Danio rerio: one gene and its partners. The protein of the gene in region 2 purifies or fractionates together with the protein of the main gene of each other region. This does not show direct contact. Links are inferred from orthologs where the notes say so. Each region holds a gene or a part of one and is shown on either strand. Other genes may lie near its edges. The genes, in order: vps51, vps50 and vps52.

What was found.
Region 1: the proteins of vps50 (region 2) and vps51 purify together in Homo sapiens (affinity purification with mass spectrometry; 7 studies listed by BioGRID and IntAct, counting the BioPlex papers as one, with this or other methods). This does not show direct contact. The link is inferred for Danio rerio from reciprocal best matches to the Homo sapiens genes VPS50 and VPS51.
Region 3: the proteins of vps50 (region 2) and vps52 purify together in Homo sapiens (affinity purification with mass spectrometry; 4 studies listed by BioGRID and IntAct, counting the BioPlex papers as one, with this or other methods). This does not show direct contact. The link is inferred for Danio rerio from reciprocal best matches to the Homo sapiens genes VPS50 and VPS52.

Annotation. Positions count from the first base shown.
Region 1 is NC_133185.1:31,878,353-31,882,594, forward strand, and holds the start of vps51 (vacuolar protein sorting-associated protein 51 homolog), read left to right. Parts: upstream 1-1,367; coding exon 1,368-1,544; intron 1,545-1,719; coding exon 1,720-1,849; intron 1,850-2,973; coding exon 2,974-3,120; intron 3,121-3,265; coding exon 3,266-3,485; intron 3,486-4,242. UniProt on the Homo sapiens protein: Acts as a component of the GARP complex that is involved in retrograde transport from early and late endosomes to the trans-Golgi network (TGN).
Region 2 is NC_133194.1:43,312,736-43,317,183, reverse strand, and holds the end of vps50 (syndetin), read right to left. Parts: intron 3,912-4,448; coding exon 3,722-3,911; intron 3,043-3,721; coding exon 2,923-3,042; 3' UTR 532-2,922; downstream 1-531.
Region 3 is NC_133194.1:20,885,835-20,889,488, forward strand, and holds part of vps52 (vacuolar protein sorting-associated protein 52 homolog), read left to right. Parts: intron 1-1,597; coding exon 1,598-1,773; intron 1,774-1,856; coding exon 1,857-2,007; intron 2,008-2,784; coding exon 2,785-2,885; intron 2,886-3,090; coding exon 3,091-3,223; intron 3,224-3,654. UniProt on the Homo sapiens protein: Acts as a component of the GARP complex that is involved in retrograde transport from early and late endosomes to the trans-Golgi network (TGN).

The DNA of each region.
Region 1 (4,242 bases), on a different chromosome or scaffold from region 2:
TGAATCTTGAGAAAAATGATGAAAATAAATTTAATGACTAAATATTGTCTATGTTGTCTTATACTAGCTTTTTTGGTAAAATTTGTTTTAATTATGCAATAATATTGTATTAATTGTCATAAATTGTTTATAAAAAACAATTGGTAACATTATCAAAGTGAAGCCAAAATTTCCCATCTATGGCTGCTGTCATCTTTTGATTTGAGCAATGAAGTATGCTTAATTTGGAGCCGAAGTCTGCGCAGAATTGATCTTAAAGGTCCTGTGAAGTGCTTTGAAATATGCATTTTTATTAGATGTTTGACGTAACCTTTACTGAAACACGAAGAGAGGGTGGGACTTAGTTTAGCTCCTCCCCTTTTTGTTTTTTCAGCTCTGCCTGTGAGAGTGGTTGAGCTCAAGTGCATCAAATGAAAAGTGTCTTGAAGGGGGCGGGGCTTGTCAGATACTAGAGAGCATTTGATTGGTCAGAAGATTTGATAAGTAACTAAAAGTATGTGGTGACATGAAGAAAGGGGTCTGGCAGACTCGGTGAAGATGCAATCTGAGCTGCATCCAATGCTTTTTAATGCGCTCACCCAACCCTACCCCTCACAGTGGTCACTAGTTCCGTTAAGTGCATTGTGTCTGACATTGCATCTCTGAGCGATGCACTTTCAACTTGCATCATGAAGGCTGCATTCAGATACTAATGGATGTGAATAAAACTGTTTATCTGTTTAGGCGGAGGAGACAAACTGCAAGCTTTGGATGTTTTTGGATCTTCTAAATGCTGATTTTGTCACTGTTTTAAAGAGCCCTAGCTTATAGATATCCTTAAGACTAACACACTGATAATAACATCTAAAAAACTTTTTTTTTTTTTTTATGGGGCCTTTAAATGGGGTATGTAGGTGGCAGCAAATTCTAAACTCCCAGACCCCCAAACACAAGCACACCACACCTCTCTTTATAGCATCAAATAACCTAAGTAAAAAAGCACTCTTACTAAAATAAATATTTTATCACACGTTAGAATAATACAAACCGAATATAAAAAGGTGGATATATATATATATATATATATATATATATATATATATATATATATATATATATATATATATATATATATATATATATATATATATATATATATATATATATATACATACAGTTGGTGAAGATGCAGCCTAGTTCGCGCCCCCGGACTTTTACTTTGAAATACTATCTACAGTAGCGCCATTTTGGCTCAAAGCCCTAGCCTCATCAACAAACTGAGTTGGCAGGTAGCAACCACAGCTCTTGCAACAGATGTTTTGTTGACATCTGTCATTCATTCATTTAATAATTCTCGCTTTGACACCAGACTATAGTTAATAGTTGAAATGAGCTCAGCCACAACACCACCGGACTCGGACCCGGCCCAGCGGCGGCGGGTTCACAGTATGCTGAAGCTCTACTACGGCCTGAATGAGGAAGGAAAAGCCACAGAACAAGCCGAGTCTCTGGATCCTTGCGATATCAACGGACCGCATTTCGACCCAGAGATTTATTTAAATAAGGTAGAGTAGCTAATAGTGACGAATGTCCTGGCTTTAATATTTAGTTTTTAGGGTCACCAAATTGAGAGTGCTGTCATTATGTGCCACATATGCAATATTCTTCCAGTAATATATAGGCTAATATAGGCTAAATGTCCCGTTGTTTGACTTAAAAAATGTGCTTTTTGTGTTTCAGTTGAGGAAGGAGTGTTCTCTGACTGAGCTGATGGACCACGAGAGCTGCATGGTCAAGCAGATCAGATCTCTGGACAGTGACATGCAAACCCTGGTTTATGAAAACTACAACAAGTTCATCTCAGCCACAGGTTAACAAATGACCTTTAAAATACAAAAAAAAAAAAAAAAAAAAAAACAGACATTAAGGAATTTCAGATTTTACTAAGTCATAGTTGTGCCTGTAGAAATCAGAACTGCTATAAGAATGTAATTATATATGAGCAATTCCTGCGTTATGAATGTGACATTTGCAGTAAAAACATACATTCACATAGAAAGTATATGTTAACATTATTTTGAAACATCTGTTTATATTTTCTAGAACAACTAACCACAGAGTTAAGGGACTAGAAAAATATCAATCTGTAAACAAGTTTTGTATTTTAAATAAGGAAAATAAACATGCGTGATGAATGTGACCATAAAGACTGTGAGTTTGCAGTATACAACATACTTTGTAGAAATTCTGTTAATTAAACTGCACAACCCAGAAGAAATAATGCTAATCAAAAGGCTCACAGATGGCTCTCTATAGAACAAAAATAATTGACTTTATTTTACTTGTCATTTTTGCATTTCTGAGGAAGAGGTGTCGTTATGGATGTGACATCTCTTTGTTATGGATGTGACTGATGTGAAATTTTCACTTGTGTGACTTTGGTAAATCAAATATAATAGTTTGAAAACATTGACAGGGACATTTTTGAGTATTTTTGCAGTACTGTAAAATACAAGCCTACACAAAAAAACGTAAAAACAACTTCCATGTTTTGGTGAAAACCTTTTTTTTTCATGACAAGGTTAACATTTGCATGGAATTGCTCATATAAAACCACAGTTTGTGTTTTTAACTTAAAAATCATAGCACACCTAAATGCAAAACTTAAATTAAAAAGCGTTATCCAGAACATATAGGATATTCTGGGCCATGAAGGATCTATCAGTTATATCATCTTTACTCTGGGAAACAATATAAGCATTTGATGGCTACATTTAAAGAAGCATTTGAATTTAGACAGCCTTTGATGGTGCACTTATATGGGCATTTATATGTGGCCTTCAAAGAAATAATTCTCTGAGATGCAGTTACTATCAGAATGGCTGCCTTATAGTTCATTTAATGGTGTCATTCATTTTTGTTTGGACATTGATGCATCATACGAGTTTCATAGCCTTTTCCAGTTCATGTTAAAATGTATTGATTATTCCTCAGACACAATCAGAAAAATGAAGAATGACTTTAAGAAGATGGAGGATGAAATGGACTGCCTGTCTGCAAACATGGCAGCTATCACGGAGTTTAGTGCTCGCATTAGCGGGACGCTGCAGGATCAGCATGCACAGATCACTAAATTATCAGGTATAAATAATAAATTATCCATTTCTGATTCATTTTACAGCTTTCAATTGGTAGTAGAACAATCGTTATTACTGAACATTATTTCATTTCTGTCTCAACTTCAAGTCTCAAAAATCAACTCCTGAATCTTTCACCTTTTGTGTAGGTGTTCATACTCTTCTCCGTAAACTGCAGTTCCTGTTCGAGCTGCCAGCAAGGCTCAATAAGTGTCTGGAGCTGCAGGCCTATGCCCAGGCAGTGAGCTCCCATCGGAGGGCACGCTGTGTATTGCAGCAGTACAGTCATATGCCCTCTTTTAGGGGCATCCAAGATGACTGCCATGTCATTATGGAGCAGCTCGCTCAACAACTGCGACAGAAATTCAGGTCTGTGCTGTGAAGCATGTCGTGGTATATTTGGCATATGCAGTAGAATTTCATCCTAATTAAAAATAGATTTTATAGAGTAATTAAGGAACCTTTTAACACATACAAAGATAATAAGATATAGAATAGATATACATTTCTTTGAGTACATTATATTGCATAACTGCAGATTAAATATGTATATGCTTGGCACAGCTATACTTTCCACCTTACGCACACCTTAACATTTTATGGTTTTGATTGTAATCTTACAACGTGCACCTTTTGTAAAGCTGCTTTGGAACAATAATTATTGTGCAAAGCACTTATAAAATGGAATGCGTATTACATGTACACTCATTTGGCAACCAAAATAATAGGACCATATGTGCACAGGTGTGCCTGGTTTCTTTACAAATTGATATTGCCATCTTCTGGCCAAGCATAAATACAGTTTTTTTTGTCTTTCTCAGATCTCTGTGAATGAAAACCTTCACTAAATTATTGAAACAAGCCTCTTCTGCCAGATATTATATAAAGAACAAGATGAAATGGATGAAGCAGTGTTGTTATTACTAAAACAAATTTATTAGAAGTTTATTATAAATTAGAAGTCATTGTTGTTAAATGATATAATGCTTAAATAAAGTTTAAATGGGAAAGGGTGGGACATAGTGTAGCTCCTCCCCTTTTTTAAAAACAGCCAATAGTGTTTTGTTTGATCACCGCTCTGCCATTGAGAGTGGTTGAGCTCAAGTGCATCAATTGAAAAGCAAAT
Region 2 (4,448 bases):
GTTGGAGCAGGGTTGGAACTAAACTGTGCAGGGCTTCGGCCCTCCAGGAATTGAGTTTGACACCCCTGTTCTAAACCTTGGTGGTAAACATAATCCTGGTTTCTTATTTCACGTTTCACACTGCTTAAACTTTCATCAGCATTAAAAGAATATCATGAATATTCATAAGCTGATGTTTCACATGGTACATTCCCGTAAACCTGGGTCTAGTCCTTTTATTTGCATATTTGAGGTGTCAAATATGCAGTATGTGTGGTCATGATGTAAACATAATCGCATCATATTCAAGTGGTATCGACGAATAGCAACTTTTTATTTTACATTGGTCATAAACAATGTAACTACAGAAGAGTCTTTAAATAGGAAATGTAGATTCCTATAACCCAGGGTTAAGACCCTTTATTTACATATTTAAGGTGTCGAGTTCATTGATTGGATGAACATTTATATATTGACCACACATGGAACTTTAGATAACCAAATATAATCAAGCTTTCAAAAAGCTTATTATAAATAAAAAAACAGTTCATATGATAAGAATGTTAGCATGTTTATTGTTCGTCCTTGCCTTCGACTTGGTACAGCTGAATATTATTACACAGTTTAGTAACCACAAACAAAGCAACACATTCCAGCAAGCAAAATACAGTATGTTCTGTATTTCAGACATATTTTTCTGACATCTGAAATAAATAGTTTCTAGCAAGAAGGTTTATATGTTTTTTTTTGTTTGTTTTATTACAGTCTCTTCCTATTATCATTACTATTAACAAAGAAGTAATCACATTCCTGCACAAATGTGTTTCATGAAAAAGGACAACAGTAGCACACCTCTGGGGTTAGAGATAAGTGTCATAAATTATAAAATCAACATATAAAGAAATAAGTGTTTGTGTATCAGGGTGAGACTAGTGACGCACAGCAAGTGAAATGAGCGACTGTGTTTGTGAATATTTATGCACATGCATTTTGTGTCCAACTGTGTATAAAAGTAACACTCCACTTTTTTGGGGGGGAAATATTCTTATTTTACAAGCCATTTGAGATTTAAATAAATTAGTTTATTAATTTTTTTATTCATTCTGCCGATCTCCGGGTCTGGCTAGAGCACTTTTAGCTTAGCTTGGCATAAATCATTAAATGAGATTAGAGCATTAGCATCTAATTTGTGCATTTGAAAAGTGCGTTAGTGCTGTAGCAGTATTATGCAGCGTTGTTTGCTAGTCACCAAGCTCGGGACTTTTATCAGGCGCGGTGTAAAAATCGTTGCTTTATGGCAGCTAACTTCCTTGATTATTTAACCAAATGAGTATTGTGCCTAGCCATTTCAACTAAGAAGATAGCAACTATTTAATTTCCGTTGGTCTTAGTAAACGATGTAACTACAGAAAAGTCAAGCTTTAAATAGGAAATTTATCAAAACACTTTTTTTTAATTCTTTGAGTAAGATGCTAATGCAGAGGTGGCCAACCCTTTTCCTGAAGAGCCACCTTCCTGCAGATTTTAGTTGCTACCCATGCAACCTGAACCAATTAATTAGGATCTGAACACCACGTGATAATTACAGGCAGGTGGGTTTAATATGGGTAACAACTGAAATCTGCAGGAAGGTGGCTCTCCAGGAACAGGGTTGGCCACCCCTGTGCTAATGGATAACGTGATTCAATTATTTATGCTAAGCTAAGCTAAAAGTGCTCAAGCCAGACCCTGAGAATCAAAACTAGTAAAACTCAATAATAGTAAAGCATGTCACTACAGTAAAGTCAAGCTTTAAATAAGACATTAATCAAAACTCCTTTTTGAATTATTTGAGCGAGATGCTAATGGTCTAATCTGATTCAATGATGTAAGCTAAGCTAAGCTAAAAGTGCCCCCAACAGACCTGGAGACTCATAAATGGTAAAACGCAAAGTTTTGATCTTAGTTGTAAAGAATGTAACTACAAAAAAGTCAAGTTTTAAATAAGAAATTTATCAAAACTCCTTTTTGAATTTTTGAGCAAAATACTAATGGTCTAATCTGATTCAATGATGTAAGCTAAGCTAAGCTAAAAGTGCTCCAGTCAGACCCGAAGACTCAAAAATAGAAAAACTGAAAGTTTTGATCTTAGTAGTAAAGAATGTAACTACAGAAAAGGCAAGTTTAAATTAGGAAATTTATCAAAAATCCTTTTTGAATTATTGAGGTGAGATGCTAGTGGTGTAATCTGATTCAGTGATTTATGCTAAGCTAAACTAACAGTGCTCCCGAGAGATCCGGAGATTGGCTGAATGGATTCAAAAATGGCAAAACCACTTCCAAAAAAAGTGGAGTGTTCTTTGAAAAGGATAGTTCAGTCAAAAATGTGAAATCCAAAACTTAGTAAGTTACTCTTTAAAACTGTGCTGTAAAATGGTAGCTATTAACACCCAATGAAATAGATGTCAATGGCTACCAGTTACAAATATTTTCCAGAATATCTACTTTTGTGTTCAACAGTACAAAGTGACCCATACAAGTTTGGAATAAGTGGAAGATGATTAAATGACAACATTTTCATTTTTGAGTGTACTGTCCCTTTAAAGGACGTCTTTATACCATATTAAAAAGCCTCATGCTACAAAACCCTCATATATTCCTCAACAAGGAAAAATTCAGCTGCTCATCCACAGCTCTGCTTAAATTAGGGTTTAACAGCGCCTGAGACATTCACTCATGTTGTGATTCAAGTGATGCTGATAACACTTTCATTACCCATTATCTTTTACAGCCGCTTCATATGTAGTCACAGCACGTCCTGCTTACATTCCTAACAAAACGCAAACAGAAACCGTAAACGTTTTCATGGTTGACAAACAAACTGCAGACCACGCAAGACAGATACGGGACGCGTAACAGTGTAGGTGTGTGTGACTTTTGTGGTGTATTTTTGATGACAGTGATTTATCTTTTGGGCCGGTCAATGTCATCAATGGCTGCGAGGAGTTTCTGTCGTGCTTTCTTGTTGATGTGGGACCCGAGGCAGACGTTGACCAGGTTAGTCAGCTGCTTCATCGAGTACTCCTGGGTAAATACAAAACAAACTGGTGATAAATCGAGCGGAGATGACAGTCATAACCATACATCTCTTTAATGGAGAATTAAAGCCAGTCTTGCAGGATATGCCTTACTAAGCAACATCACAAGCACATTTGGAGCCAAGCCAGCGTTTGTCTTGACATTTAAAAGGCAAACATTTAGTGATGCGTCATTTATAAAATATGCTAATGCTTCATTAGAATATGAGATTCGATTTTTACAGTATATGCAAGAATGTTTGATCCGAACATTAGCATAAAAAGGTTTGACAAGGCACTTCTAAGAAAAGAATAAAATGTGATTTTGTTTAAACGAATTATTATAAGCTACCCTTCATTTGCATTATTTTTAAATTATTATTTAAATTTTTTTTAAATTGCATTCACCATTTTTAATTATTATCCCTTTTTATTTTAGTTTTTAATATTGTCTTATTAAATTTTTTATATTAAAAAATAGGTAAAAGATGCTTCCCAGTGCTGGGTTGCAGCTAGAAGGCCATCCGCTGTGTAAAACATATGCTGGATAAGTTGGTGGTAAAATTTTTTTACTTAGAAATATGTTTGTTTTGAAACATTAGAAAAATAGAACAAAATATTACAAACCAAGAATATGTGAAAAAATAGCAATAGCAAAAATAGCTGTCATGTGTCATCCATCTTACCCTGTGGTTCTTGATAAACTGCTCCATGTCGTTTTCAGTCAGGTAGTATGCTTTGATGTAGGTCTCCACAAACTCCTTGTCAGGAATGGGTCTGAGGTCGGTGAGCTTCTCCAGCTTCATGAGGAACTGCTGGAAGTCCAGCTGCATCAGCGCTCGTCCTTCATTACTGCACTTCTTCACATTAGCATAGCTGGCAGACAGCAGGAGAAGAGCAGAGGTGAGTGCTGAGCCATTCATTACCTGTTGACAGTTTACGCTTCATTAACTGTAGACAGCGTCCCCAACAGCAATTCCAGGTGATGAGTCTTACACGGTGCGTGTAACTCTCCGGTTAACAGTTAACCTCGTGCCCTGCTGCTAATCAAACCTGAAACCTCACTGACCGTTAAACCACCAGAATGAAAATTAATAGACCTATAAATATATAAAACAATTAACAATGCAGTGGCCAGTTAGAAATAATTTATGACAAGGCTGGGATTAGTATTTTTGTTTCTAGATAGACATATTTATGGAACTAAAAATAGAAAGGCAGAATGACAGAACTGTAGATTATCTAGACAGACAGGCAGGGGGGGTGGGCGGGCGTGCAGACACAGACAGACAGATAGATAGATAGATAGACAGACAGACAGATAGATAGATAGAATTAAGGAACAATGGAACAAGAATGGAACGACAGACAGATAGAATTAAGGAACGATGGAACAACAGACAGACCGAATTA
Region 3 (3,654 bases), about 22 Mb from region 2:
TTATCAGTTTACTGACTCCAAATTATGCTTCTATGCTATGGAATTGTAAAAAAAAATTATCATCTTTTAATTGATAGTATTTTAACCAAAGTTCATTCACCATCTACAAAATCAGTTTTATCACAGATTTAAGACATTTTGAGACTAGATTTGATCAAGTGATTTTACCAGATGTTGTATTTGAAATAAACTATCCTGCTTTTAATGATTACAGAAGGCTTTTTTATGAAATGAACTTTCTTAAGGATATTTTTAACAAAGTAACATCAGTACATTAAAAAAATGTATGTATTTACACATAACAAAATCCTATTTAATTTATGCATTCATTTGTTTGTTGTTTTTAATTGTATATTTATTATTGAAATGTTCTTGCCATGAAAATAGCCTTGGTTGATGACTTGGTTGCTTCTTTACTTAAGTTAATAGCACGGTTGAGCCTGGTTAGTACCTGGATGGGAGAGCACACAGGAAAAACTAGGTTGCTTTTGGAAGTTGTGTTAGGGGTGCTCACCCTTTGGTCTGTGTGGATCCAATGCCCCACAGTTGCTCCGCATCTGTCACCAAAACAGTTTGTGATGTATCAAGAGCCAAAGTATCCAGGGTTATGTCAGCATACCACCAAGAATGATAACCCCCAGCAGTAACTGTGAACGAGGAAGCTGTCTGAAAGGGATGCCAAGGTGCTAACGCAAATTGTATCAAAAAACATAAAACCACAGCTGCCCAACTCATTGCAGAAATAAATGTGCACCTCAACTCTCCTGTTTCCACCAAAACTGTTCGTCAGGAGCTCCACAGGGTCAATAGACATGGCCAGGCTGTTATAAGTAAACCTTTGGTCACATGTGCCAATCCTAAGCGTAAATTTCAATGGTGCCAGCAGTGTAAATCTTGAGAGTTATGGTGTGGACAAGCCCCCAAAAACCGTACCACCCAGACTGTTGTATGCCTAGAATGAAGCATGAGTGTGGATTGGTAATGGTTTGGGCTACAACTTTATAGCATTACCTAGGCTAACTGCTTGTGCTAGATGGGCGAAAAGACTACCAAAGACTACTGAACCGTTCTGGAGAAAGGTTCAAACATTGTATTTTGAAGGCAGCCCCGTGTATGAGGATGATAATACTCCAGTATACACAGCAAGACTGGTGACAGAGTGGTTTGATAGACATGAAAGTGAAGTTGAATTTCACCCATGGCCTGCACAGTCACCTGATCGAAATATTACTTATTTAGAGACAAATGTCTCTAAATCCCTCTGGCCACTGTGCAGAAATTGTATCTAATTCCTGAGAGGAATTATTGCTGTATTGGCTACAAAAGGAGGCCTTGCATTATGCTATAACCAGGTGTTTCAGTTTCATTGCCCAACCGTGTGTGTGTGTGTGTGTGTGCGTGCGTGCGTGCGTGCGTGTGTGTGAGTGTGTGTGTGTGAAGTTACTGGTGAAATTATATGGACAGAGAATCAAGGAATCTTTGTAATGGCATGCATATGAGAAGCTACAATTTGACATTGCCTGCATTACAGTTCGTGTTTAGCATTGGTGCTGCTTGACATTGAACTGCTAAAGTGCTAATTCTTTTTTGTGTCTAGCGTATGGAGGGCATGCTGAGCAGTTTCCAGAGTGACCTGTCTTCCATCAGCAGTGAAATTCAGACATTGCAGCAACAGTCAGTCAGCATGAATATGAGACTCAAGAACCGCCAGGCTGTCCGCAGTCAGCTCAGCCAGCTGGTGGATGAACTAGTCGTCCCTAGCACTATGATCTCGTAAGAAAACATATTTAGCATGTAATTATTGGGACATGCTTTACCTTTTGAAATTACTGAATGAAGAACTGTGTGTGTTGCAGTGTGATTCTTGACAGTCCTGTAACGGAACAGGAATTTTTAGAGCAACTTCATGAGCTTAATAACAAAATCAACTTTGCTAAAGAGCTCAGCTTCAGAGAGACCCTTGCTTGCTCAGATATACAGGACATTGTAGATCGCCTCAAAATCAAAGTGAGAGCAAATCCAAATTTCATTGATAAAGTATTTTGATCATCCTCATAAAGTAAATCTGTGCTTCTCAACTGGTTTGGCCATGTGACCCATATTTTTCTATGTTCATTAAGATGTGACCTACATTTTCTCTCTCTCTCTCTCTCTCTCTCTCTCTCTCTCTCTCTCTCTCTCTCTCTCTCTATCTCTCTTTTATATTCTAGCAAATGTAATTTACAAAAAATGATTAGCAAACAAATACTCCATTTTAGTTAACATGCATATCAACTGAAAGATTCGCTGGCCCAAACTACAATTGTTAATAAATATAACAAAACTAATAAATAAATTGAAAAACACATAACATATTACATTTATAAAACCAACCTAAACTATAAAAGGTATGGAAATGCTCAGCATTGGTTAGTACAGGATAACAGCTGGCATCCCAGAAATATTAGTTTTTCTGAGTTGAGAGATATTTTATATCATAACAAGTAATAAAAATAACATTAGAACTTTGACACTGCTTTTCAACATTTTTTCAGCAACCGCAGACAGTGAACTGTGAGAATGTTTTTTTCAAGCACTTGGGCCTTTCTTACAGAAGCATGAACAGCTTCACACATCTTCAAAAATCAAAAAGTGCATTACCAAATCACTCCATGACCTACTCAAAATGGATTTGTGACCCATTTTAAGTCACAAAAAACCAATTGAGAAACACTTTAATAGGAATACAAGAATACAAAATTTAGGTTTGTGTTGCAGTTTTTTAATTTTTAATTTTGATCACAGGCTGTCACAAAGATCCGGGAGTTCATCCTACAGAAAATTTACTCTTTTAGAAAGCCAATGACCAACTACCAGATCCCCCAGAACACATTACTCAAGTACAGGTACAAAACACACTCCTTTAAACTAAACCAAACAAAGACTTTGGTTACATCAGAACAAGCAACAGGGGTTATTAGTAAAATTTGTCCTGGTGAATAGCAATTATTAACTCTATTAAATTAAATTCTTAAATAATTAATTTATAGATATTTTATCAATACAATATGTTACACCCCCCTAAATATGTCTGTTTCTGATCATTTATAGGTTTTTCTACCAGTTCCTGTTAGCCAATGAGAGAACAGTTGCAAAAGAGATCCGGGACGAGTATGTGGATACCATGAGCAAAATCTACTTAAGTTACTTCAAGTCATATAGTGGCAGACTGCTGAAAGTCCAGGTGAAATTGGTTTAAGATAGCAAAAGGTTTTCAAAATCTAAAAAAATTGTAAATTTGAAGAAAAAAATGTCCATGGAAGTCATTTTGTACAGGTTTAAATCCCAGGACAATATCTGAATGCATAAATTATGTATTCAGAATTGTAACGGAGACACTTACCAAGTAACTAAGACACTTACAAAGTATCAACTCAGATCTTCATAAAATGAATAGAAACATATTTAGCATTAAATAATTAATTCTAATAATTAATAGTCAATTCTCTGCTAAAAACTATTTGCCTTGAAAGTGTCATGAATTTAAACACAAGGAGGCTACTGTGTGTATAAAATATGATATTGTGTAGTCTTATAATGTGCATGTATGATGAAGCTAATGTAATATGCAAGATTATAATATCAAGTGGCTGTACAATTTAAATAACTTCACTT